2 linked regions of the Medicago truncatula genome follow. Each later gene encodes a partner of the first gene's protein in a complex. Links are inferred from orthologs where the notes say so. Each region holds a gene or a part of one and is shown on either strand. Other genes may lie near its edges. The genes, in order: gamma-tubulin complex component 2 and mitotic-spindle organizing protein 1B.

The links.
Region 2: gamma-tubulin complex component 2 (region 1) and mitotic-spindle organizing protein 1B share a complex: the UniProt entries of both Arabidopsis thaliana proteins name them as parts of the gamma-tubulin complex. The link is inferred for Medicago truncatula from reciprocal best matches to the Arabidopsis thaliana genes AT5G17410 and GIP1.

What each region holds. Positions count from the first base shown.
Region 1 is NC_053049.1:2,944,412-2,956,955, forward strand, and holds the start of gamma-tubulin complex component 2, read left to right. Parts: upstream 1-6,568; 5' UTR 6,569-6,797; coding exon 6,798-6,860; intron 6,861-7,682; coding exon 7,683-7,820; intron 7,821-8,446; coding exon 8,447-8,578; exon of another isoform or gene 8,579-8,595; intron 8,596-10,468; coding exon 10,469-10,552; intron 10,553-10,635; coding exon 10,636-10,734; intron 10,735-10,864; coding exon 10,865-10,956; intron 10,957-11,741; coding exon 11,742-11,814; intron 11,815-11,915; coding exon 11,916-12,068; intron 12,069-12,185; coding exon 12,186-12,305; intron 12,306-12,421; coding exon 12,422-12,475; intron 12,476-12,544. Other genes in the region: G-type lectin S-receptor-like serine/threonine-protein kinase RLK1, read right to left, coding at 1,423-2,465, 2,764-2,878. UniProt on the Arabidopsis thaliana protein: Gamma-tubulin complex is necessary for microtubule nucleation at the microtubule organizing centers (MTOCs). Required for the positioning of the gamma-tubulin-containing complex on pre-existing microtubules and for the proper organization of cortical arrays.
Region 2 is NC_053045.1:59,334,169-59,347,194, forward strand, and holds mitotic-spindle organizing protein 1B, read left to right. Parts: upstream 1-7,737; 5' UTR 7,738-8,015; intron 8,016-10,820; 5' UTR 10,821-11,940; coding exon 11,941-12,177; 3' UTR 12,178-12,306; downstream 12,307-13,026. Other genes in the region: ABC transporter B family member 3, read left to right, coding at 1-228, 538-592, 708-883, 977-1,198, 1,302-1,540, 1,622-2,147, 2,300-2,573, 2,682-3,547 and 4 more. UniProt on the Arabidopsis thaliana protein: Required for gamma-tubulin complex recruitment to the microtubule organizing centers (MTOCs). During mitosis, modulates gamma-tubulin complex localization, spindle stability and chromosomal segregation. Necessary for gametophyte development and embryogenesis.

The sequences.
Region 1 (12,544 bases):
TCGCACCCATATACACGGGTACAAAACACAACTACTCTTGAAGGAACATAAAACCACAGCTTGATACACAGACATAAAAGCAATATCACAGTATGCTTAAAACAGCGAAACAAGGATAAGCACAAGCTGAACCCCTTGCTTAGCAACTTATTAATTTAGAGAATATTGAATACTAAACGGTGAGGGGTTTAACGGAGCTTGCACTTCAACAGTACCTTCAAGCATATGTATCACATTTCTCATGGTTGATCTAAGACATGCATCCTCTTGAACACACCAAATAGCAATCTTTACCAATTTCTCCAAATTTTCCTTGTCCTCCAATGCCTCATTGTCACCCTCAACCAATGCACCTAAAGCACCATATTTGTAGCAATCATAAGCCCAATCAGTTAAGATAGCTTTGTCTTCATCTTCTTCATCCATTTCTTCAACACATTTTCTACATGAAATTATCTCAAGTAGCACTACACCATAACTATACACATCAACCTTAGCTGTGATAGGCATGTTTTTAAACCATTCAAGTGCAACATACCCTTTTGTTCCTCTTATGCCAGTGTTGGTTTTGCTTTGATTCATGTTCAACAGCTTTGCTAATCCAAAATCAGAAATTCTTGCATTGAAGTAATCATCAAGGAGTATGTTCTGAGGCTTTATGTCACAATGGATGATCCTAGTGATGCACTCTTCATGTAAATACACAAGTCCTCTAGCTATACCTATTGCAAGTTCTAGCCTTAGTTTCCAACTTGGTTTTTGTTTCTCATCATCAGCATTGAAAAGAAAACTTGCCAAAGTGCCATTGCTCATGTACTCATAAACAAGCAATCTTTCACTTCTACACTCACAAAATCCAAGTAAACGAACCAAGTTCTTGTGATGAGTGAGACCAATGGAATTCAACTCATTCCTGAATTCCCTATGGGCTTGATCCAACAAAAAACTGTTTAACTTTTGCACTGCCACCCGAGTTTTGGAATCTGTGTCGTTGTTGATGACTCCTTCGTAAACAATACCAAAAGCTCCCCTTCCTAGCTCTTTGTCAAATCCATTGGTAGCTTCTTCAAGCTCTTCATAAGTGAAGCAACACAAATTGGATTTAATTTCAACACACGTGTCACCTTTGATAACTCTTCTAAGCTTTTTCTTGTGCTGAAAAATGGAGGTGCTGACACAGATTGTTACAATCAATACAACATTGAGAATAGCAGAGCTACCAAAAAGCACAGAACCAACCAAAACCAATGTTTGTCTATTATTATTATTATTATTATTATTATTATTGTTATTATTATTATTATTATTCTTATTATTGTTATTGTTATTATTATTATTGTTATTATTATTATTATTATTCGTGTTCACTTCTTTTCTCACTTTTAAGAGAGCCTTGGCACCACCAAGACTCGCATCAACTCTTCAATTTGAGAGTGGTAACTTCTTCTTCCAACAACTATCACCTAACCTCCAAATAGCCACAGAACACATGCAATCTTCCATACTAGCTTTCCTACATTGTTCATCTGTAAAACGCGTTAGAAGCACGGCATCTGATAGAGGCCAATCAGTGTCATTCAAAACCTGAAACTCATATAGATCCTTTGTTTTACTTTGTTCATCTTCTGCACATCCTTGTATGAAATCTGGCTTGCAGCTACCATGTGGATCATCAGGATCAAGCAGTGAGTAACGTTTTGGACACCGACATGTTGGTCTCTTATCATCTCCCAAAGTGCAGATGGTATTATATCCACAAACACCACTACCTGAACTAACAATATATTGACATATATTTTTAGGATGAGACCACACTGTAGTCCAATTTCCACTATCAGTTGAGTTCTTTGGATGCTTGAAAGGTGAAAACACTCCATCAAAATTAAGAGTTGCTCTAAGATAAAAATTAGTAGGGGAGACTTTACTCTCCTCATCTTGTACTCCATCTTCTCCTGAGATATAGAATTTCTCACTGTTCTCTCTCAAGAGATACAAGTCTCCTGATTTGTCAAAGACCAATTGAGCTCCAGGACTTGAAGTATTGGATTCCACAGTTCCACTTTCATAGTAGTTTTCTTCATTAGCATTACCAGATGGTAAGATAATAGAATGAATAACAAGATTACTATCATTTTTTAAAACAAGCTCAAACCTTCCTTTACTGAAATTTGACTCCTTAAGCCTTGAAGAAAGCTTTCCATCTTTTAGAATAACCTGAGAAGGCAACAAGGTGTCACAGGGAAAGTCGAAAGTCTGCCAAAGAGTGTTGAAAGCGCGACCTCCAAGCACAAAGTTCCCCGTGTCATTGAGCACACTGGAAAAAACATCACTACTGAGTTGCTCATTATTCCATAACCTTACACCATTCGGAGAAGTTAGCACCAACCCATCAGTGAAAGTTAGCTCCACTTTTGACCCTATTGTTACAGGACTGACTCCATTAGGATACCACACAACAGTTTTCTCTAAAAAATTTGCATACCAGATGGAAAGCAAAAAATGATCAGTGTTTTGATTGAAAGAAAACCAAAGGCAAAGTCACCAGAAGGTGAAAGCAACCATGGAGAGGTGTTGGTTTCTGAAATATGAAAATCACCAGCTGCTATGGTACTTTTGGTTTGAGCTACAACACTGATGGATTGAAGAATCAGTGAGAAGAGAAAAAAGGGAAGAAGTAGAAAGAAAAAAAAAATTATCAAAGCACTAAAATATAAAAGACAGGAGATGCCTGAACCAATACAACAAAGTCAGTAAGTGTATAACCTGCGAAAAGGAAAATTAGATCTATCCCTGTAACGGAAACATCTAGAGGAAAGAGGTGGCTAAGTCCACCATAATACAGAAAAGCTAAACAGATTGTAGAATCAAATTGATCCATATGATTTATAAAAATTTCATCATCATTAGTCTTTCTTCTTTTCTTTTTTTTTGGCACCAAGTCATTAGTCTTTCTTCTATTTGTTAAATATTCTGTGTAGACTTGGTCATCTCATACTAATAGACAAAAAATGTTATAGAAAAAGAAATGAGAGTAATAATAGACAAAAGATAATAAATGGTGGTGATTATAATAGAAAAAAGACGTTAAAACCCATTGAAAAAAAATATGGTTCTACATGAAAAATTCAAGATTTTTTCCATACATGTTTAAGACATTAAAGTATGGATTTGCACAAAAAAAAATTGGAATTTTTCAACTAGGATAAATTAATTATGAATTTTTAAAACGGTAAAAACTTAAAAAACAAAATAACGGAGATTTTGACTTATAAATCAAATTTTTAGTTATTTGTTTGGAGAGACATCTATAAAAATACATAAAAAAGATTTGCATAGTTTCATGAGATTTCAAAAATGTTTTGATTTATTTTTACTCTCAAACCAAAATATGCAAAATTGTAATTTTGTTTCGAATAAATGTATACTCATAAGTCAAATTTCATTCTTTAATTGTGTAGTCATGGCTAGAACATCGTAAGAATCTTCACGATAAAATTTTAAAGTTTTAAGAAAAGAGAGAGATTAATCATGGCATAAAAAATCATAATTATCAGTCCCTAGTGGAATTTTTTTTGTGTGTAGTCTTATTACAAGGTTAGTATATTTGTTTTTTTATTTATTTTACTGAGACATTTTTCAGACATCAGGTTAATTTGAGCAATTGACCCTGTAAATAAATTAAATATAAAAGGATCCCTAAAAAAATTATATATAAAAGGAATACATTATTTGAATTGACTTTTTCATTTCTTATTATATCTTGTAACAAACTTACCTATAATCTATTACTCTCTCCTTATTTTATTAAACTTGTTTTGATATTTTCACACATATTATGAAATATAGTTAATTTTGTATTGCAAAGAGAAATTATAAATGATTTCACAAAATTATCCCTTATTAATGATATGTGAAAAAAAGATTAAAAAATTGAAAAAAATAGAGTAATAAATGGTAAATGGTACGATAGGAATGATGCATTTCAATTCTAAAGCGACTTATAATAAAACCAATTTTTTTTCTTTTAAAGTGACTTACAATAAAATACGAAGGATAATGCCTATTAAGTATGCATAAACATAATACACCCATAACGCTAGAATTCGGACTCAAAAACACACCAATAAACTATCATATGTGGAGCAAAGGAAAGTAATAACCAGTATCAAAGTAACCACAATGAGCAGCAACAACAACAACAAACCTAGATTTAATCTAGGAATAAAGTGAAGAGTACAAAACCACAAGCAAAAGATAAAGAGATAAGAGAAACAAACACACATAGAAATGTTTACCCAGTTCGGCCCAACTTGACCTACTATGGGGAGAGATTGATCTCTCCAAGCCATTATCAATGAGTTCTTACAAAGAGATACAAAAATGTTACAAGAAATTGGGGAAATGTTTACAAATGTTTTCCTACCCAAGAAAACCCCTCAAAAGAACCTTAATCAAAGGGGCAATGCTATGTTGTAGGAAAGATGGCCGCAAGAATAGCAAGAATAACATTGTCCGCTCTTTTCTAAAAAATAAAAAAGTATTAATCCTTATGTAATGGAAATCACGCCCATGTGTTGGTGAAAATGCACGGCTTGGATATTTTCGTGCGTTTTGTCTCTTCGGGTTCCCTTAAAAACAAGCATTATCCTAAGCAAAAACCCTTAACTCTAAAGTTATCTAATTTGATTTTTTTAAGTTTCTTTCTCTTGAAGCCTTTTATAGTGCTCAGACCCGGCAAAAATGTGCCCCAATTTCAGCAAATTGTGCCCCAATTTACCCAATAGTACCACAGTACACATATTTCCTTATCCAAAATCGGACTTCGATTTTACCAAATTGTGGTCTGAAAAATGTCGAAAGAACACTCCAAAAGTGGGCCAAAATCGTGGCCTGATTTTGGCCTACCCTCTATTCATCAAATTTGAGTCATAATACAACATTTTTTATGTATTTTTCTTTTCACATTTTAGCGTACTATATTAAGGTTAAATATGTTTTTGATCTCTATAAATATATCACATTTAGTCCTCATAAAAAACATTGACATATTTATGTCTCCATAAAAAATAAAAAAAAATTAGCATGCTTATGCAAATATTTTTAAAAAAGGCTAACCATATTTTTAAAAAAGACTAACGAGTGTCTTTGGGGTATTGATTAAAGTATTAAAAGTGGTAAATTTATCTAAAAAAACGTGTAATTATTGGAGTAACTTATATTTTTAAGACAAAATTTCATTTAATGAAATCATTAAATAATGTCCGTAGGGCAATCGTTAACAAGATGTACCAAAGGAAACTTAAAAAATTCTTATGGCAATTAGAAACGAAATGTAATGTAATGTATTTATATTTATATAAATTATAAAGGTGTTTAACCCGATTTAAGTTTTCAAATCCACGGTGGTAGTTGAGAGCTTGAAACGTGTTTCTTCTAACGTATCAGGTTTGATTTTTCCCGATATCAATTTCGATGAGTTTTTTTTTTTTTTTTTTTTAAGTTTTCAAGATTGATACTATTAATGAGAAAGAAAAAAAAAAAGAGTAAATTACACTTCCCTCCCCTCAAAGATGCTTGAATTACACTACCCTCCCCTCTTATGTTAAAATATACATTCCCCTATCCTCTTATTCAAAACTTATTTGAATTTTTTTCACTCCCCTCCCCTAAGAGAAGCTTGAATTACATTCCCCTCCCCTCTTATGTTAAAATATAGAGTAAATTACACTCCCCTCCCCTCAAAGATGCTTGAATTACACTCCCCTCCCCTCTTATGTTAAAATATACACTCCCTTCCCCTCTTATTCAAAACTTATTTGAATTTTTTTCACTCCCCTCCCCTAAGAGAAGCTTGAATTACATTCCCCTCCCCTCTTATGTTAAAATCTACACTTTACTCCTTCAATATTAATTTTTATTTTATTTTTAATAATCTAGCAAAAAAATAATAATCTAACACACTTCAAAAAAATAGTATTGTGGGTCTATTTTAATATAATAAAAATTGAATACATATTTTTCGCTATTTTTTATTCACAATTTCATTAACATGTAGTTTTAAACCCTATTATAAAATATAAACAACCAAAACTAAAATTAAAATATGTGAAAAATTACTAAAGACAAATTAAAAGTTAATTTTATACTCTAAATTATAAAATCAGTAGCAAAATGTTTAAACTTAATTATCATTGACATTTAAATTATAAAGAAATGAATTAATTTTTCTTAAATGGTGGTTTAAAATTGAAATATATTATAAAAATATTTATTTATGTTTAAATAGATTAAAGTGTAGTCCATAGTTAATTATTAAGGGAGAGTGTTGTAATTTAAACATCTTATAAGGGAAGGGATTATAAATTTTATTTTTCAAGAGAGGGGAGTGTATATTTTAATATAAGAGGAGAGGGGAGTGTAATTCAAGCATCTTTGAGAGGAGGAGAGTGTAATTTACTAAAGAAAAATAACTTGGACAATTTCAGAGATAAAATCAAAGTGAGTTTTTGACTTAAAAATAAATAAAATAAAATAAAATAAAAAGGAGTTATTTTGAAAAGTGAAGAATGGAATGGAGAGATTCCTGAAAAGAAGAAACCAGACAAAATTCAAAATAATAGAGAGAATAAAGAAGTAAGAAGAAAATCTAGTGAGTTAACAACTTCACTTCACTCTCTCTGCATTTATCTTCCCATAGTTCATAACATCTCTTTCCCATTTCGATTCGCAAATAATCTTTAAAAAAGCGATTACTGAAAAGCGCTTTTTCTTCCGATCTGCTTTCACTGCATTTCAACATGAATCAAACCGCCGCCGCAGGGTTTGAAAATCTTATCGGCTATTACGATCCTCCTGTTCAAGTACGTTCCTCCCTCTCTCTCTCTCTCACTTATCGAACCATTCTCAGATCTATTGTCACCTATCAACTTTTTGTTCTCTTCATTTTGGTGCTTGTTTTTCGAATTTCTGTGTAGTCTCTAAGAATGTGATTGCTCAAGTATTCTCTAGTAGTGTAATTGCCTTCGATTCTATTCAATTTTTACCTAACATTTTATCTTAGTTCAAAAACCTAACTTCAATTCAAAATACATATGTTTATACTGTATATAAGCTTTTTTATACGGCACATTGCTCGGAATTAAGAAAATGTACTATTTGTTATGCCAAGGGAAGGACCTTTTTTTTTTCAATTTTTTTTTTTTAACAAATTAGACAAAGTGAACTATGCTATGATTATTGGTAAGAAATTAAGGTCCTGGCTATGCTTTGTAGTGTCATCAAGTAGCGGCTATAGCAGAAACAGAATTTTAACATATCGTTATGGTTTTATGACACACATTTTAGTTCAAAGTATCCTCAAATATCGGATATAGGAAAGCATAGCATAATTTGAACAAACTACTACATTGCAATCTGTGATTGACAACAATGTTATTCTTTCATCAAACTGCATAGATTAGGTTTTTTAAATATTTTTGAAAATTATTTCACTTTGTGTCCTCTATATGCTGCCATCTTATTTGGCTTGGTGTTGTATTGGTTTTTAAAGTTTTCTCTTTGTGTGTGTATGTATTCATTTCTATTCATATGTATTCAAGTACTGTGTATATCTGCATTCATATTCAATTTAGGGTTTCAAGATTTAAAAATTTAAGCTATTGTTTTGTTCTACTGAAATATAGGAGCTTATTGTTATTGATGAAGTCCTCTCTGCTATGGTTGGAGTTGAAGGGCGTTACATTTCAATCAAAACACTTCGTGGAAAGAAGGATGAGATTATTAATTTCCTGGTTGACCCATCTATGGATTTGGCACTACAGGTGAGATTTGCATAATTTTTCGCTACCATGGTTTGACCCGCAATCATAACATTAAAGGTGTTAAACCTCCCCCTTTTTCTTTATGGTGATAATAACTGATAACTGATAGGAAGTTTAGATGGCAAGCCAAACTATAGCGGTAACGGAAATACTTTCTATACATTTTTTTTTTTATAGACTAGAAGTTTATAAGGTGTTTAATATGTTCAGTATCATAACCTAGTGCTAAAATAAAATAGGTTCATTAAAGCCATTTAGGTTTTACTTTCATGTTTCTGTATTATTATTTTTTGTAAACTTTAGAAATGGAATATGAAGCATCTATCTTGCAATTCAAATACTGCAATGCTTTTTAATTTAAGTTGCACTCTGTGTTTGGCAGTAATTCAAAATAAAGGAAATTATTTTCTGCAACCATGTTTTCTATATTCGGTCATTGTTTCAAACTGTGATTTGCATCCATAACTCTGCCCCCGAATTGTGTTTTTGGAGGTATCTATTTGCTAAGAAAGCTGATGGGGAATGTAAATTGTCCTATGCTATAGCTGTATTATTCAGATTAGATAATGAACAGTATAATTTAATACAATGATAGAGCTGAGTCTGAGCCAGTTTTGTTGTTGCAGGAGTTGGCAAAACGGATATTTCCTCTATGTAGGAGCTTTTTGTTGATCAACCAATTTGTGGAATCAAGGTCTCAGTTCGAGAATGGCCTAGTCAATCATGCCTTTTCTGCCGCACTTAGGGCATTCCTTCTCGTATGTTTTTCTGAACAGTGAGTCAGTTGGTTGATTTACATTTCGCATGAAGTAATTGTTTGCTTCTTGAAAATATGTTTTCATGTGTCTGTGTGTCTATATATATTCACCTTTTATAAATGGCCCTTAACTTCTTTTGGTAACCTGTTATTGTCTGGTAGACTAATTATTTTTCTTAAGTATTTCAAGTGTTAATGTTTAGTGCATGATGCTGGCTCAGTATACCTGAAGTAGCACCTTCTGATTCTTTTCCGAACGAAGCTTACAGCACACTACCTTTATTTATCTTCTGTTGGGGGCAGGGGATATAAATAGATCATAGTTTCTACGAGGAACTGTTGTTTAGTGATCACTTTTATTTATTTATTTACTTTGAGAATACTCTTTCCTAGGGAATGGCAATCAAACTTTAGTTAAAAGTGTGCATTTAGTTTGTTAATTTTCTCCCCGGTGCCAATTTTGGTGGGCTAGTTTAGCTTCTTAAAAATAAAAGTTTGGTAATTTTCATTTTCTGGACTACAGATTTCTAAGATTGAAAATCAGTAGAGTTAGTTGTCCTGTAGTGTTATGCAAAACCGGCGCTTTAGGTTTAAGGTGTGCCCGACACACACATGACATGTGTCTGACACTCAATTTTAGTGTTGGGATATAATTTGTTTAGGCTTCGATATGTCGAGGACACTGCTCTGACATCTAGCATACCCTTCCGTTTGGCCTGAAATTAAAAGGAACATGGTTGGTACCAAAAACTTTTTTTTTTTTTTAAATGGTGATGAAAGTCCTTTCATTGACTTAATATACTTTTTCACTATTTGGTAATAGATGGATGGATTAAAGGTGATAGACAAAGGTTCAATATCTCATCATATTGTATTGAATCTTTTTTGCAAAGAATTTATCTAAAAAAAAAAAGAATATTTTGTTGCAAAGAATCAAAGTGCTTAACTAACTAGTATTTTTAGGCGTGACTCGTTATGGTAGGAAAATGTAATACTTCAAGTTCTTTCTGTTTGTGTGTCATGGAGTGCTATATTTTGGACATTGCCGGTGTTTATGTGTCTACAATGTGTCGGTTTCAGTGCATCATGAGGTCAAGTCTAAAATTTTATTTAGTATCTTACCCACTTGAATTTTCAAACTCATTTAGGGTCAAATATTTTGTAGAAGTAGTAGGACTCAATATGTTTGAAATGTGCTCTAGTTTAGTTTGGAATGTAGTGTTTTTATTTTCAAAAAATTTTGGTAGAAGAATTTGTAGGATAAGGGATCTTCCAAAAAAAGATGAAACTTCAATGGGCCAAAGTTGCCAGTGCCCGTTAGTGAAATCCCTCCACAAAGATGATACCCCGGGGGTATTACCCCCTTTTGTTGAACTAAAGCAGTTTGTTTGATACTCTCGTAATCTTAGAACCAAGGTTCTGCTGAATAGCTTCCTTCTCCAATACAACAACCAAGCCATGTCCCATTAAGTGGGTCGGCTACATGGATCAAACCACTTCATAATGTCTATCAAATACCATATGTGTATCCAACTCATCAATCCCCAGATCTTTCTTAATAGTTTCTCTTATAGTTATCTAGGTCTTCCTTTACCTCTAGTGATTTCACTCCCCTTCATCTGATCTACTTTCCTTATCACAAAATCATAGGTCTTCTCTCTACATGCCGAAACCACCTAAGCCTATGTAAATATCTGATTTGCAGGTTATTACTTAATGAGAAAGCTAAAATGATTTTAATAAGCAAAAACTAGTAGCATAGCATAAATTAACAAAATAAATCTTCACATCTGTTTCAGTTCTGCCTGCGTATATGATATCTTTTGATTAAAATGTGCAATTTGAATACGAAATTACTTTTACCATTAAGGCATGCCATTATCTTTACCAGGATTACCAGGCCATGGTGGCACAACTTGAGCACCAGTTTCGGCTTGGGAGACTTTCCCTTCAAGGATTGTGGTTCTACTGTCAGGTATGAATTTGTTTCGGATTAAATGTAAATCAGTAAATGTTTGTCAAATTATTGCTGATAATACCTTCAATGATGTGTTTCAGCCCATGTTGAGGTCAATGCAAGCATTGTCTACTGTCATACAGAAGGCTTCAGTCAACAATTTTACTGGTTCCGCCGTTCTTAACTTACTGCAGAGCCAGGTAATGAATATCTCTTGTAATTGTCACCATTTTCTAAAGTCTTCACATGTTAAAAAACTTCCCTTTAGTTTCATGTATCAGTTTCTCAAGCACTTAACTCTCTCTCCACTATGGATTCAATTGTATATAGGCAAAGGCTATGGCTGGAGATAATGCAGTTAGGTTGTTGCTGGAGAAAATGACACAATGTGCAAGTAGGGCCTACATGAGCATTTTAGAAAGGTTTCTATTTATCTCCTTTAATATGCCATTTATCATTGGCTAGCAAATGCATATGTTATTTTCTTCTCCCGTATTCCATCTCCTTTGGGTTATTGGGTATGTTTGGAGAGAAGGGAACCAAATAAGTTAAAGTAAAAATATGGAAGAAAAGAGAGAGAAAAAAAAATGAGGAACGATAAGTAAATAATTTACTTCCTTTTGTGTGGATTTTAAAAAAAATGTTCATAAAATTTAATATAGGTTGATTTTGGATCACCTGAAAATCCTTCATTCGTTTCTTTTCATATAGTTCACAAGGTCCAAGCAAAATGAAGGATTGACCTTCTTTTTCCATTCTCTTCGATCCGTTTACCTAGATCTGATAATTAATATGTAGAGAAAGCCCTATGTTGAATCAGATTAATATTCTACTATTATGCTGTTTGTATTGGAATTTTGCACAAATAAGAATAATTAATCTTGTACATTGGTATGATCTATCTATAACATGTAGAAAAGCCATAGACTTACACCAAATCAAATTAATATTCAGTTATACTGTTTGTATTGGTTTTTACATGAATCTCACTATAAATAAATATTTAAAAGCCATGTCACCGTCTTTTGGCGTCCAGACCATGCTTATGGGGACACATACATCTAAGTTCCCTTTTTCAAACTCCTTATAATCTTTTCTACAAGTTAATTTCCCTTAAGTTATGATTGTCTTGTGCACTCTTGATGTTGAGTTATCTCTAATTAACATTCCATATTATTGTTCATTTGGGAATCAAACAATCCTAAAGATGGGTCTATGAAGGAGTAATAGATGATCCTTATGGTGAATTTTTCATTGCAGAAGACAAATCTCTTCAAAAGGTACCCAAAATTAATATCAAAATATTCAATCACTTATTACAGCCTAAAATTAATATCAAAACTTGTTTTTTCATATGACCTCAGTTTCATATTCTCTATAGGAGAGTCTCACTAAAGATTATGATGCTAAGTACTGGCGACAACGTTATAGCCTCAAAGATGGAATTCCAAGCTTCCTTGCGAATTCTGCAGGAACAATTTTGACCACAGGAAAATATCTAAATGTCCTGAGAGAATGTGGACACAATGTTCAGGTGCTGATACTGTTGTGCTTGTATGTAGAATAAATTTATCTTCTCTTTAGCCATTCAAGTTGGAGTGTGCTTGTGAAATATTTACTGTTCACTAAATGTAGTTACTTTTTATTCTAGGTGCCTCCATCAGAAAATTCGAAACTAATGAGCTTTGGCTCAAATCATCATTATCTTGAATGTATCAAGGCTGCTTATAACTTTGCAAGTGGTGAACTCGTGAATCTCATTAAGGAAAAGGTGATTTTAAATATATTTAGGCTTTTTAAGTTCTCAGCTTACAGTTTAATGCTTCTGCAATATTTGTTATTGTTTAAAATCCAAGTTCTGATTGTGAATTGTGTTTGTATGTGTAGTATGATCTAACAGGAAAATTGCGGTCTATAAAACACTACCTTCTTCTTGATCAGGTATGATCATGTTCGTCTTACATTGTTCAATTCGGAGACAATAACTACCAATACTAGAAAACCTAAAAA
Region 2 (13,026 bases), on another chromosome or scaffold:
CATGATTCCAAGAATAACAAGGTGAAGGATCAAAGCAATAAGACAGTACCCTTTTACAAGCTTTTCACATTTGCAGACTCATGGGATTATTTGTTGATGTTTGTTGGGACTATAAGTGGCGTTGGGAATGGAATCTCTATGCCTTTAATGACTATAATTATTGGAGATGCTATTAATGCTTTTGGAGGAAATGTTAGCACTAAACAAGTAGTTCATCAAGTTTCCAAGGTAACAACTATTTAATCCATTGGTGAAATATTCTATAGGGAAGATGTGAAAATAGTGTTATATGGAATGGTTTCTTTTTGTTGAAGCATACAAGTATAGAGTAATTTTTATTCTAAATTTATGTCATATCACATTCCAACTGTCTATATTATGTTCGATCAGTGTCATCGATTCATTTGTGCAGTAAGTATGTGCTTTGTTGGTATCTAATTCAACAAGAATCAACTTTAGTTTTGATGAGAACAATTTGGATTTCAAATTTTCCTATTTTCATTTCATAATTTAACATGGTTCATTTCATGCTCCCAGGTGTCTGTCAAGTTTGCAATCATGGGTGCATGTGCCTTTTTTGCAGCGTTTCTACGTAAGCATGCCGAACTTTCTAGATTAGTATAATTCAACTTAATATAACCATAAAATTTTAAATATAATTTATATTAATATTAAAATAGCAAAGGTAAATACATGAAATTTTGCAGAGGTGTCTTGTTGGATGATCACAGGGGAGAGACAGGCTGCAAGAATAAGGGCATTATACCTCAAAGCAATTTTAAGGCAAGATATCAGTTTCTTTGACAAGGAAACAAATAGTGGTGAGGTTGTTGGAAGAATGTCAGGTGATACAGTTCTTATTCAAGAAGCCATGGGAGACAAGGTATGAATGCAGCATCATTTGATCTAACCATGATAACAAAATTCGAAGATAATAATAACTCATTCTTCCTTTTTTGGTGGATATGTTCTGCAGGTAGGAAAATTCATACAATATGTGTCATGTTTTTTAGGAGGTTTAGTTGTGGCATTCATCTTGGGTTGGCTTTTAACCCTTGTCCTTCTATCGTCTATTCCTCTTCTTGTCCTCTCTGGTTCCATAATGAGCTTTGCTTTCGCAATGATGGCATCCCGTGGACAAACGGCATATTCTGAAGCAGCAACTATAGTAGAGCAGATAATCGGTTCAATTCGAACAGTATGTGTGCCAACTCCCTCCATAGAGAATATTTCCTTTTTTTCCTTTCCTTTTTCATGTTTCTAACTAAGGATACACGACGCAACTGCTCCAATGCGCGCAGGTTGCATCATTTACCGGCGAGAAACAAGCTATATCTCAATACAATCAATCCTTAGCTAAAGCTTACAAAGTTGGAGTACAAGAGGGATTGGCTATTGGTTTAGGCCTCGGTTCGGTTCGTTTATTTGTTTACTGCAGTTATGCTTTGGCTGTATGGTTTGGAGGGAAGATGGTACTTGAGAAAGGTTATACAGGAGGTGAAGTCATAAGTGTATTTTTTGCAGTACTAACTGGTTCCTTGTAAGTCAAGTTAAGTTATTTTTTTGCAAGATTAGACTCTCATACATAAATCACTTTTTATGAGCTAATTTTATTTTCTAGGTCTCTAGGACAAGCAACTTCGAGCTTAACAGCATTTTCTGCTGGACAAGCTGCAGCCTTTAAGATGTTTGAAACAATCAAAAGGAAGCCGGAAATTGATGCTTATGACAAAATCGGGCTAAAGCTTAATGACATTCAGGGAGACATAGAGCTTAGGGAGGTTTGCTTTAGTTATCCTACAAGACCAAATGAACTAATATTCAATGCATTTTCTCTTTCGATATCAAGTGGTACTACCGTGGCTTTAGTCGGGCAAAGTGGGAGTGGAAAATCAACAGTGATAAATTTGATAGAGAGATTTTATGATCCACAGGATGGTCAAATTATCATTGACGGTATTGACCTCAGAGAATTTCAATTGAAATGGATCAGACAGAAAATAGGCCTAGTGAGTCAGGAACCAGTTCTCTTTACTTGTAGCATTAAAGAGAACATTGCCTATGGTAAGGATGCGGCAACCGATGAAGAAATCCGAGCTGCAGCAGAACTTGCTAATGCTGCTAACTTCATCGATAAATTTCCTCTTGTAAGCTCTCATTTCTTGATTTATCCATCTTGTGAAAATTTCTACACTGTTCTGCTTTTTCACAATACTGGAGACTATTTTATAGTATATATTTTTTCATTAAATTTAAATGTCCTTTTTACCTTACTAGTACTGGAAAATTATTGATTTAGGGACTTGAAACGATGGTCGGTGAGCATGGAGCACAACTCTCTGGAGGCCAAAAGCAAAGAATTGCTATAGCAAGAGCAATTCTGAAAGATCCAAGAATTCTACTCCTTGATGAAGCAACAAGTGCCCTTGATGCAGAATCTGAAAGAGTAGTACAAGAGACCCTGGACAGAATTATGATAAACCGAACAACCATCATTGTAGCTCACCGCCTAAGCACAATAAGGAACGCTGATATCATTGCTGTTATTCACGAAGGAAAAGTAGTAGAAAAAGGTAACATACATACATACATACATACATACATAAATACATACATGCATGCATGCATACTAAGTATGTCGCAATGCAGCAGTCTTATATCTTCTACTAACTGATTATTAGGTACACATGCTGAGCTCACTAAAAATCCTGATGGAGCTTATAGTCAACTCATTAGATTGCAAGAAATTAAAAAGGATTCATCAGAACAGTTTGGTGATAATGACTCGGATAAGCTAGAAAACTTTGTAGACTCTGGAAGAGAGTCAAGCCAAAGGTCTTTAAGCCGCGGATCATCAGGGATTGGAAACAGTAGTCACAACTCATTCATAGCATCAAATTCTATGCCAGACACACTAGTAGGAGGGTCTGAAGTTGTTCCTTCAGCAAAAGCATCATCAACTAAAACTCGAGATGCCCCATTTTTTCTCCTTGCTTATCTTAACAAGCCTGAAATCCCGGTGTTACTCATGGGAGCTCTGGCAGCAACAGTAAATGGTGCAATGTTACCTATTCTGGGCCTTCTAATCTCCAAAATGATAAATACATTTTTTGAGCCTGCAGATGAACTTCGTAAAGACTCAAAATTTTGGGCATTAATATTTGTTTCCCTTAGCGTGGCATCTTTCATTTTTCATCCGTTAAGGTCATACTCTTTTGCTGTAGCTGGTTCTAAATTGATAAAAAGAATCCGGTTAATGTGCTTCGAGAAAATAATTCACATGGAAGTAGGATGGTTTGATAAAGCTGAGAATTCAAGTGGTGCGCTTGGTGCAAGGCTGTCAACTGATGCTGCTTCGATTCGAACTTTGGTTGGTGACGCACTCGGTTTGCTTGTTCAAGATATCTCTACAGTTATTACAGCCTTGGTAATTTCCTTTCAGGCAAATTGGCAGCTTTCTCTCATCATTCTTGTTTTGTTGCCTCTACTATTAGTAAATGGATATTTTCAAATCAAGGCCATGCAAGGATTCAGCACAGACGCAAAGGTTTGTGCCTTACACAATGTGCTTCAATTGCGTCACAATGCATTTTTGTCTCTAAATTTATTTAGTACATATTTTGTTTCTATATGAAATTTGTACTAATCTTCATTTGACATGATGTTTCTATGCTCTAAATATGTTTCACAGAAACTATACGAGGAAGCAAGTCAAGTAGCGAACGACGCAGTAGGGAATATCAGAACAGTTTCTGCTTTCTGTGCCGAAGAGAAAGTGATGGAATTATACCAGAAGAAATGTGTAGTACCATTCCAGACAGGAAAAAGGCAGGGTTTAGTCAGTGGAACTGGTTTTGGGTTAGCAATCTTCTTTCTGTTTTGTGTCTATGCAATCAGTTTTTATGCTGGCGCCCAACTTATTGAGAATGGCAAAACTTCGATGTCAGGAGTTTTTCAAGTAAGTTACGGTCCCAACTCGGAGGCCATTTCAGATATAGTGCTCTTTGGTTGAACTCTGAGCTCATCACATTCTTTTAGCATTAAACATTTAATTTCTTTTCAGGTATTTTTCTCTCTCACAACGGCAGCTGTCGCATTATCTCAATCCGGCTTCATGGCTCCAGGAGCTAGTAAAGCCAAAAGTTCAGCTGCTTCAGTATTTGCTATTCTTGATCAGAAATCAAAAATAGATACCAGTGATGAATCAGGAATGATACTGGAAGATGTGAAGGGAGAGATTGAGTTCCATCATGTCACTTTCAAGTATCCAACCAGACCTGATGTTCATATATTCAAAAATCTTTCCTTGACCATTCATTCAGGACAGGTAAATTAAAAATATTATATATTGGTTTAGTGCATAATTCTCACAAGAATTCACTATCAAAAAATCCATCTAGGTTTTTCTAAGAGAGAAGCTTAACGTTTGGTTGTTTCAATCAGACAGTTGCTCTAGTAGGTGAAAGTGGAAGTGGAAAATCAACAGTGATCTCATTGTTGCAAAGATTTTATGATCCAGATTCAGGTCAGATTAAACTGGATGGAACAGAAATCCAAAAGCTACAGCTTAAATGGTTTAGGCAGCAAATGGGACTGGTAAGCCAAGAGCCTGTGCTGTTTAATGACACCATCAGAGCTAACATTGCCTATGGAAAAGGTGGTAATGCAACTGAGGCTGAAGTTATAGCTGCAGCAGAACTAGCAAATGCTCATAACTTCATTAGTAGTTTGCAGCAGGTAAACTACAGAAATTTATGAAGCATTGACACGTACACAAACACTAAATTGTTTATGGTTCTGTTAAGAGAGGAAACCAAACTGAACTTTTACTACTTCGGTAAGAATGAACCAAACCTTTAATGGTTCATCCAGGACCTAAACAAACTAGTATAAAGGTTCGGTGCACCGATTCAGTGGTTTCAAACCAAACGGAAAATATTTTTACAAAAAAACGAACTGTACTTTTTTCAAACTGAACTAGTTCTTTGTGAATTTAATTGTACCAAATTGCTATTATTAATTGATAATTAGGGCTGTTGAAGAAAACCAAAAACGAAACCAAATTGAATTTTATGACTGTTTAAAAAACTAAAAATCGAATCACTCATAAAAGAACCAAACTATGATAGATAGTTCATGAACTGAACCGAACTGAGTTCAGTCCAGTTCGTGAACTGTCAGTCACAATTAGATTTTTTCGGTATGGTGGAGTTCGCTTCGGTTTAACTGTTCCATACATTTTTTTTAAACAGTCCTAACTGACACGATGTTGACTCTAACACGAAGGCATTAGTAAGAATTTAAGAAAATAAACGTGTAACCGCATGTGTTAGAATCATCGTGTTAGACACTAGACATGTCTTTGATCTAAAGTGTCAGTACTACATAGCACACAATACTCAATGAGCTGAACCTGTTCTTAAAACTCTTGCTACGAACGTGTGAATTGCAATATTTCAAATAACTAGCTACCTATGATGCATGCCTTACGAGGTTCTGAATTCTAGAAAAATAACATATGCAGGGGTATGATACAATAGTAGGAGAGCGAGGGATTCAACTTTCTGGAGGACAGAAGCAACGTGTGGCAATTGCAAGAGCCATAGTTAACAGGCCAAGAATATTACTACTAGATGAGGCCACAAGTGCCCTTGATGCAGAGTCTGAAAAAGTGGTTCAAGATGCACTTGATAGAGTGAGGGTGGACAGAACCACCATTGTGGTGGCTCATAGATTATCAACAATAAAGGGTGCAAATTCAATTGCAGTTGTTAAAAATGGAGTGATTGAAGAGAAAGGAAAACATGACATATTGATCAACAAGGGTGGCACCTATGCTTCTTTAGTAGCATTGCACACAACTAGCACTGCTTCATCTTAAGACTCTTTCAACCTATTCAATCTATTTTTGCATGCTTCTTCAAAAAAAAAAAAAAAATTCTATTTTTGCATGGTTTCTAGAATAAGTTATTTTGAAAAAGTTTTTTTTTATACACACACATTCTGCTGCATCTAATATATAGAAGCATTTATATACATGCTTATTACCTCCAGTACGATTGACACTATTGTGTACATTTTTTTTTTTTTTTGGTAAAATGCTTAAGTATACATTTAACAATGAATTGTGTCATTTTAACAACAAATTATAGGGTTAACACAATTTAAGTAGCACCACTTCATCTTAAGACTCTTCACATTGTTGTATTTATATATACTGTTACTTTTTATATTCTATAAGAAATCTTGATTTTCTATCAATTAATTTAATAACTGTTTCATATTTTTAGGTAAAAATATGATTTTTCATACGGTACTTTGACTATATCTTCTGTTCTCCTTCTAATTCATTAAATTTGATATTATTTAGCTTTGTTTATGTACATTTTCTACTCTCTTTTTTTTTTTTTTTTATATAAAAAAACTTTACATCATCATTTTGTTTTCTAATTCTATTTTTTCACGTTGTATTTTATTTTAAAAAATCTAAAATTTAAATGTGATAATTGATTATTATTATTATTGACGATAAAGAAAAGTAAGTAAAAGATAATCAATTACAAGACACATAGGAACTCCTGTATTGTTTAAATGGGTACCAAAGGTTGGATAAATGTGGTAAGTATAAAAAAAAGTTGGATAACTCAACTGATTTGAACCTAAAGATTAAAGAAGCCGAGGTGATAAAAATTTAGGGTAGTTCAAGTTCGTTGATTTGAACCTAAAGATTAAAGAAGCCGAGGTGATAAAAATTTAGGGTAGTTCAAGTTCGTTTAATGAGAAAAATACTAACATATAACATAATAATGTTTGTCATTAAAAAAATGCTTAAGTGGATTTCACATAGTTCATTTTATAATTTTGGATATCAATAACTAATAATATCTAATGAGCATTCAATTTCTTCAACTCAACATTTCAATTGTTGTAATAAATAAATTCTATAAATAACCATATCATTACCATTAAACAAAACTAATTTATTTTAAAATATTTTATTAAGTTGGGTCCGCAAAAATAAACAACAAAGATTCTTTTAATAAACATCATTCTCTAGAAGAACTCAAAATTATCGTTTGACAACATAGGTATGTATTTAGATGTTAAATAAACGAAGCACACACCATTGTGATGCTCGGTGAAAAGGGAGCGGAAAGGTGGTTTGTTACCCCTAAACAAATATGAAGCTAATTAAAAAAAGGTAATTAACTTTCGTTTGGTTCGAGAGTTTTGGAAGGGAGGAAATATATTTAATTTGATGTGTTTGATTCAATTTTAAAAAGGCCTTTAAGATTTTCATATTATATAATCCGAAGTGAGTTTTTTTTTTCCTTTTTTTGTAGAACATTGTTTTTTTCCACCAATTTGGATTATAAAATTTGAAAAGAAAAAAAAAAAGTACTTCGTATTTTATAATACGAACACTCCTTGTACAACATACTTGGAAACATAAAATCCGAACTCCCTATACATCTTCTTATGTTAAGAATTCATGAGAAAATATATCAGATTATATAATCTGAATCCTGCTATCAACACAAAAGACTAAGCATTTTTGTGTAGGATAACCAATTTAAGAATCATATTAAACATCCTAAGGCCATTGTTCGATGTTTCCGCCATGTCTTATAAAAAAATCCAATTTTTAGGCTAGTTGATGAGTTTTTACTTCAAAACTTGTGATATTGGATTATTAACCCACTACAAGGATTCTAAATCGTGTTTTTCTAGTTCGAATTAATAAACACAAACATCAAAAATATGCTGGGAATAAGACTAAGGGCAAAGAAAGTATGGTGAGAAAAATAATTGCCTAAAAGAATACACAATTACCGACCTAAACTCATCTATAAATACAAAATTTGCGACCTAAAATCTCAAATTAATTTTAATTCTTATTCTTTTTTCCACCGCCGCTCCGTCCAAGCCTTTCATCTCTGTTTCGCAGTTGGCATAGGTTCTGATTCTGCAATCTCTCTGCCACGCCGCAACATCTTTCACCTTCGCATCAGCAGGTTTTATCGATTGATCCTTTCTTTTCTTTCAGAATTACTACCGATCACTTATAAATCACAATTTTAACATTGAATTGAATTAAGTATTATTGCTGATTGTTTTTTTATGAGTCACTTTTTGTTGCCGTACCGAGTACTGTGAATCACAATTGCAACACTGCATTGAATTTTGTTATTTTCTTAAATTTTACTATTATTATTATTGTTATTATCAATGTCACGATTGTTTGCAATGATCTTGTGAACACAATTAATTTATGAGAATATAATCCCCGTCAACACTTATATGGAGGTCTCCTTTTTCATGGCAACGGATTCAAGTGCTTTCAAATGATGAATCCAAAAAACAAAAGAATCATACCATTTTCAATATAATTAACAATATTGATTTGTTGTGTTAGTGTGATTTTCAACAATATTAATATGTAAAACTCAAACGAACTTTGTTAATTATTTTTAAATGAATTTACATGATAAAGATCAAAAGAATTATGTTTAAAGTAATTAAACTCACAAATTTAGCGAGAGGAGAACTTGTGAGAATTATACCATTTTTTTTTTTCTTTCTGGCTAAAATGACTTTAGAGTGAGAATTAGGGTTCCCCTAAGAACATTAGAAGAGTGATGAGCCATCAATTGCCAATGTTTGTGAATTACGCTTTTTGCAATATGATAGTGAGAAGATAAAGGAAGGAAGTGTGTTGATAACAAGTGGTCATGTAACCAGTGATGATGAATCATAGAAGGATGATAACAACAATGAAAAGAACAAGTCGGCGTTGAGTTTCAAGAGTTCTAAAGACAAGATTTTGCAAACATCTCAAGATTGCAAGGAACCGCTTCTAATAACGATATTGAAGAGAAGAAGATTGATGAAAGTGAAACTTAATTCGGGTCCATACATGTTATGAATTTTTAATGAGCTTCCAAGTGATGTTTTTGAATATGAAACCATTTAGCGTCTTTTTTTAGTTTATATTTTTTATTAGGAATGATATTATGATTTTGTGTGGATACCCTTGATGTTGTTATGTAATTTGCCTTGTTGGCAATTTTTTTAATTATAATATCACATGTATTATTGAGCCTTTTATGAAATACATAATAAAACCGCTTAATAATCCATAAATATATTATAACTAAAAATCCTCAATAAGGAAAATTACATGACAACATCAAAGGTATCCCACACAAAAATCATGCTATCATTTCTCATACAATAAACATAAACAAAAAAGAGACACTAATTGGTTTCATCTTCAAAATCATCACTTGGAAGCTCATTCGAATCAAAATTCATAACAACTATTGACCCTAATTCAGTTTCACTTTCGTTAATCTTCTTCTCTTCAATATCATTATTAGAGGAGTCATGTTCCTTGCAATCTTGTGATGTTTGAAAAATCTGTCTTTAGGAATCTTGAACCTCAACACCTGTCGTGGCGGTTAAATACAAAAGCTTTCTTGCAATATGATATATGGTAAAGAGAAGATGAAGGAAGTGTGCTGCTAACAATTAGTCATGTTACGAGTGATGATGAATCATAGAAGGATGATAGCCACAATGAAAAGAACAATTCGGCGTTGAGTTTCAAAATTTCTAAAGATAAGATTTTTCGAACATCTCAAGATTGCAAGGAATTGCCTCTTGTAACCATATTGAAGAGAAGAAGATTAATGAAGGTGAAACTTAATTCGGATCAATACATGTTATGAATTATGATTTTAATGATCTTCCAAGTGATGCTTTTGAATATGAAACCAATTATCATCTCTTTTTTTGTTTATATTTTTTGTTACGAATAATATTATGATTTTTGTGTGGGATAGCCATGATGTTGTTATTTAAATTTGCCTTTTTGATAGTTTTTTAAATTATAATATCACACGTATTATTGAGCAGTATACAAAATACAAACGGCATAATAATAAAAATTCTCAATAAGGAAAATTACATGACAACATTAAGGGTATGGAACACAAATTATATTATCATTTCTCATTCAATTTATATAACAAAAAAAAAGACACTAGTTGGTTTCATCTTCAAAACCATCACTTGGAAGCTCGTTCAATTCAAAATTCATAACAATTATTGACCCTAATTCAGTTTCACTTTCGTTAATCTTCTTCTCTTCAATATCGTTATTATCGTTATTATAGGAGTCACGTTCCTTGCAATCGTGATGTTTGAAAAAATCTTGTCTTTAGGAATCTTAAACCTTAACACCCACTTCTTCATTTCATTGTGGCTATTATTCTTTAATAATTCATCAAAATCACTTGTAACATATCAATTGTTAGCAACACAACTTGTTCCTTAATCTTTTCATTATCATCCATGATGTTGCAAGAAAGTCTGTGCCTTTTACTGTCATGATTGTGATTCACATCAAAATTGGCAGTTTCCTAGTAACTCCATGAGACGAGTTCAACTGTGTTTGATCATCAATAATAACTCTTTTGTTCTTATATGTTATTCGGAGATTCTCACTCTAAAACCATTTTCTGAACAAAAAAAAAAAAGGAATAATTCTCACTCACAAATTGTCCTCTTCAGTCTTCATAGAGCATGATTAGAATGTTATAATTTCTACTCGCTAATTTTGTAGCTAGGTTTTATCATGTTAATTCATTTAAACATGATTCTTGCGAGATTCATCGCGTTAATTCATTTAAAAATGTTAGAAAATTACACTAGCACATCTGATCAATATTCTTAATCATATTGAATATGATATGATATTTTTTTTTTTGGATTCACTTTGAACTCAATTGTATCCAATGTGTAATTTTTTTTTACAGGGTGACTAATTTTCATTTCGTAGTCGCCATGAAAAGGGAGGCCTGAAGAAACCCATTTTCGTCTGTTGTCCTTAATAATATTTTCCTCGATCATAAATTAGTTTGTCGAGGACATCATCTGCATATAAGTTTTTGAAATTTTTAATTAGTAAGCCTATCATCATACCATCTTTTTGTGACATTAATGTCCACATTACAATGTCATGAACCCCTGATTGAGAATGTGTTTCACTTAGAATTCGAAGTACTCTACCTACACGAATAATATGTTCCAAACCTAATAAATTAATGCATAATTGTGACAACTGAATTTTATAGAACTTTTAAATGTTGAATAAAGATCAAATCACTCATAGATAAAATAGTAGTCTTCCTACCATGTTCAATCAAATTTCACGTGTTATACTCTTTAATATCATTGTAACATGATAAAAATCGTCAGCGTTATTGACTTTACTTGGTTGGGTTGCATCATCTAATTTTGATACATGTTGTTAAACTAGTGGCTGCAAGGGAAGCCCTCATGTAAGTCAAGTTAGGAGGACTGTAAGGAAAATGGGACTTCAGTTCAATTCTAAGAGGCAATTGCCTTTTCCAACTTCAATAAGGCAATCATGTACTCTTGGAATCGAACCGAAGTTCCCATTTTTGTGATTCTTCAACATTTTTTGTTCTTCCTATGTGTAGTACTTTTCCCATTGATCCTGCTGTGTTCTTTGTAGTGGTGATATTGATCCACCAGGCACCCATAATTGACTGCACATGAGGTTTGATGTTTTAATTTATATTAAGAAAACTTATCTTTGTTTAAGGGTTTTATTGTTGTTTGTTTTAGACGATGGGATTTTAATGTATATTATATGTCATGGATTTTTGTGTATTTGTTATGTGCTTTATTTTACAAGTTATAGCCATTTATCAGTTATCTATGAAGTTTAGCTTTACATTTGTTATTAACTGGTTCTACCGACGGTTGGACCATGACTTGGGGTCTCGCCAGTTCAACTTCAGGTCTGGTTTGAAAACATTGACTTTAGGTTTTAGATAGTAGTTTAGAAGGTAACTTTGACATGTGTTTAGGTGTTTTCATTTTGCAATTCTGAACTAGTAAACATATCATATGCACATCTCAGCTTTAAGCATGGATCCTGAAGCTGCAAGAAGTGCACGAGAATCTTTGGACCTGGCATTTCACATGTCCAATATACTCGACACGGGTTTAGACCGTCATGCACTTTCTATTCTCATTGCCCTCTGTGATCTTGGGGTCAATCCTGAAGCACTTGCTGCTATTGTCAAGGAACTTAGAAAGGAGAGGCTCCCACTGTCATCATTGCTTCCTACACCTCCTTCTTAATCATGAATGTATTTTGTTATATCTCTCTCCAATGTTGTTTTATGGAAGGTATTTTTTATGTTTATATTTGAATTGTTGTATGCATATTGAGACACTGGTTTATCAAGAAATGTTGGTTAATTTTTTAAAGCATTATAGACAAAAGAAACAATGGAAGAATAGTTTAGGTGTATTCGATTTCTTCCTGATAGAAGTATTAGTTTTGTTTTGTTCTTTTTGTTAATTTTTCCAATTGACAGAAACTCTTACAAAAGCTATTATCTGAATTTATTGCAAGATTGATTCATCTTGGAAGCAATATGTATTTTAGCAAGGTTTCCTAGTAATAGTGTACCTGCCTAATGTTTATATATATTTTCTTATTACACTTATGAAACAAGGAAGGCTTTACTTTCTTATTTTATGTGACGTATATACAGGTCAAATATTGTATTTATTTGGTAGCTACATTTCTAAAAGATGGGGCAGATTGTTTTCTATTTCATAAGTTCTTATTTCTTTCATTTTGTTTTGGTCACTATTTGTAAACTTAAATCAGGCTTGAAGCTTCCTAGCTTTTTGAGACTTGCCTATTATTCTTTTGTTTAGGTTCAATAACCTTTGGTTTGAACTTAGTTTACTCAGTACATGTCGTTTCTTAGGATTTTTATACTTTGTTTTCATGCCTTGGTGTAGGAATCGTAATGTCTGCATCTTTTATAGAAATTACATTTCATCAACTTGTGAGGGCTCTAATGTATTTATGTGGAATGTTTGTGATGGCAGGTATAACTTCATGAATTCTTTAAAAAAAAAAAAAAAGTATAATTTCATGAATAGTAAGAAGATTAGGTCCTGTGAGCGAAATTC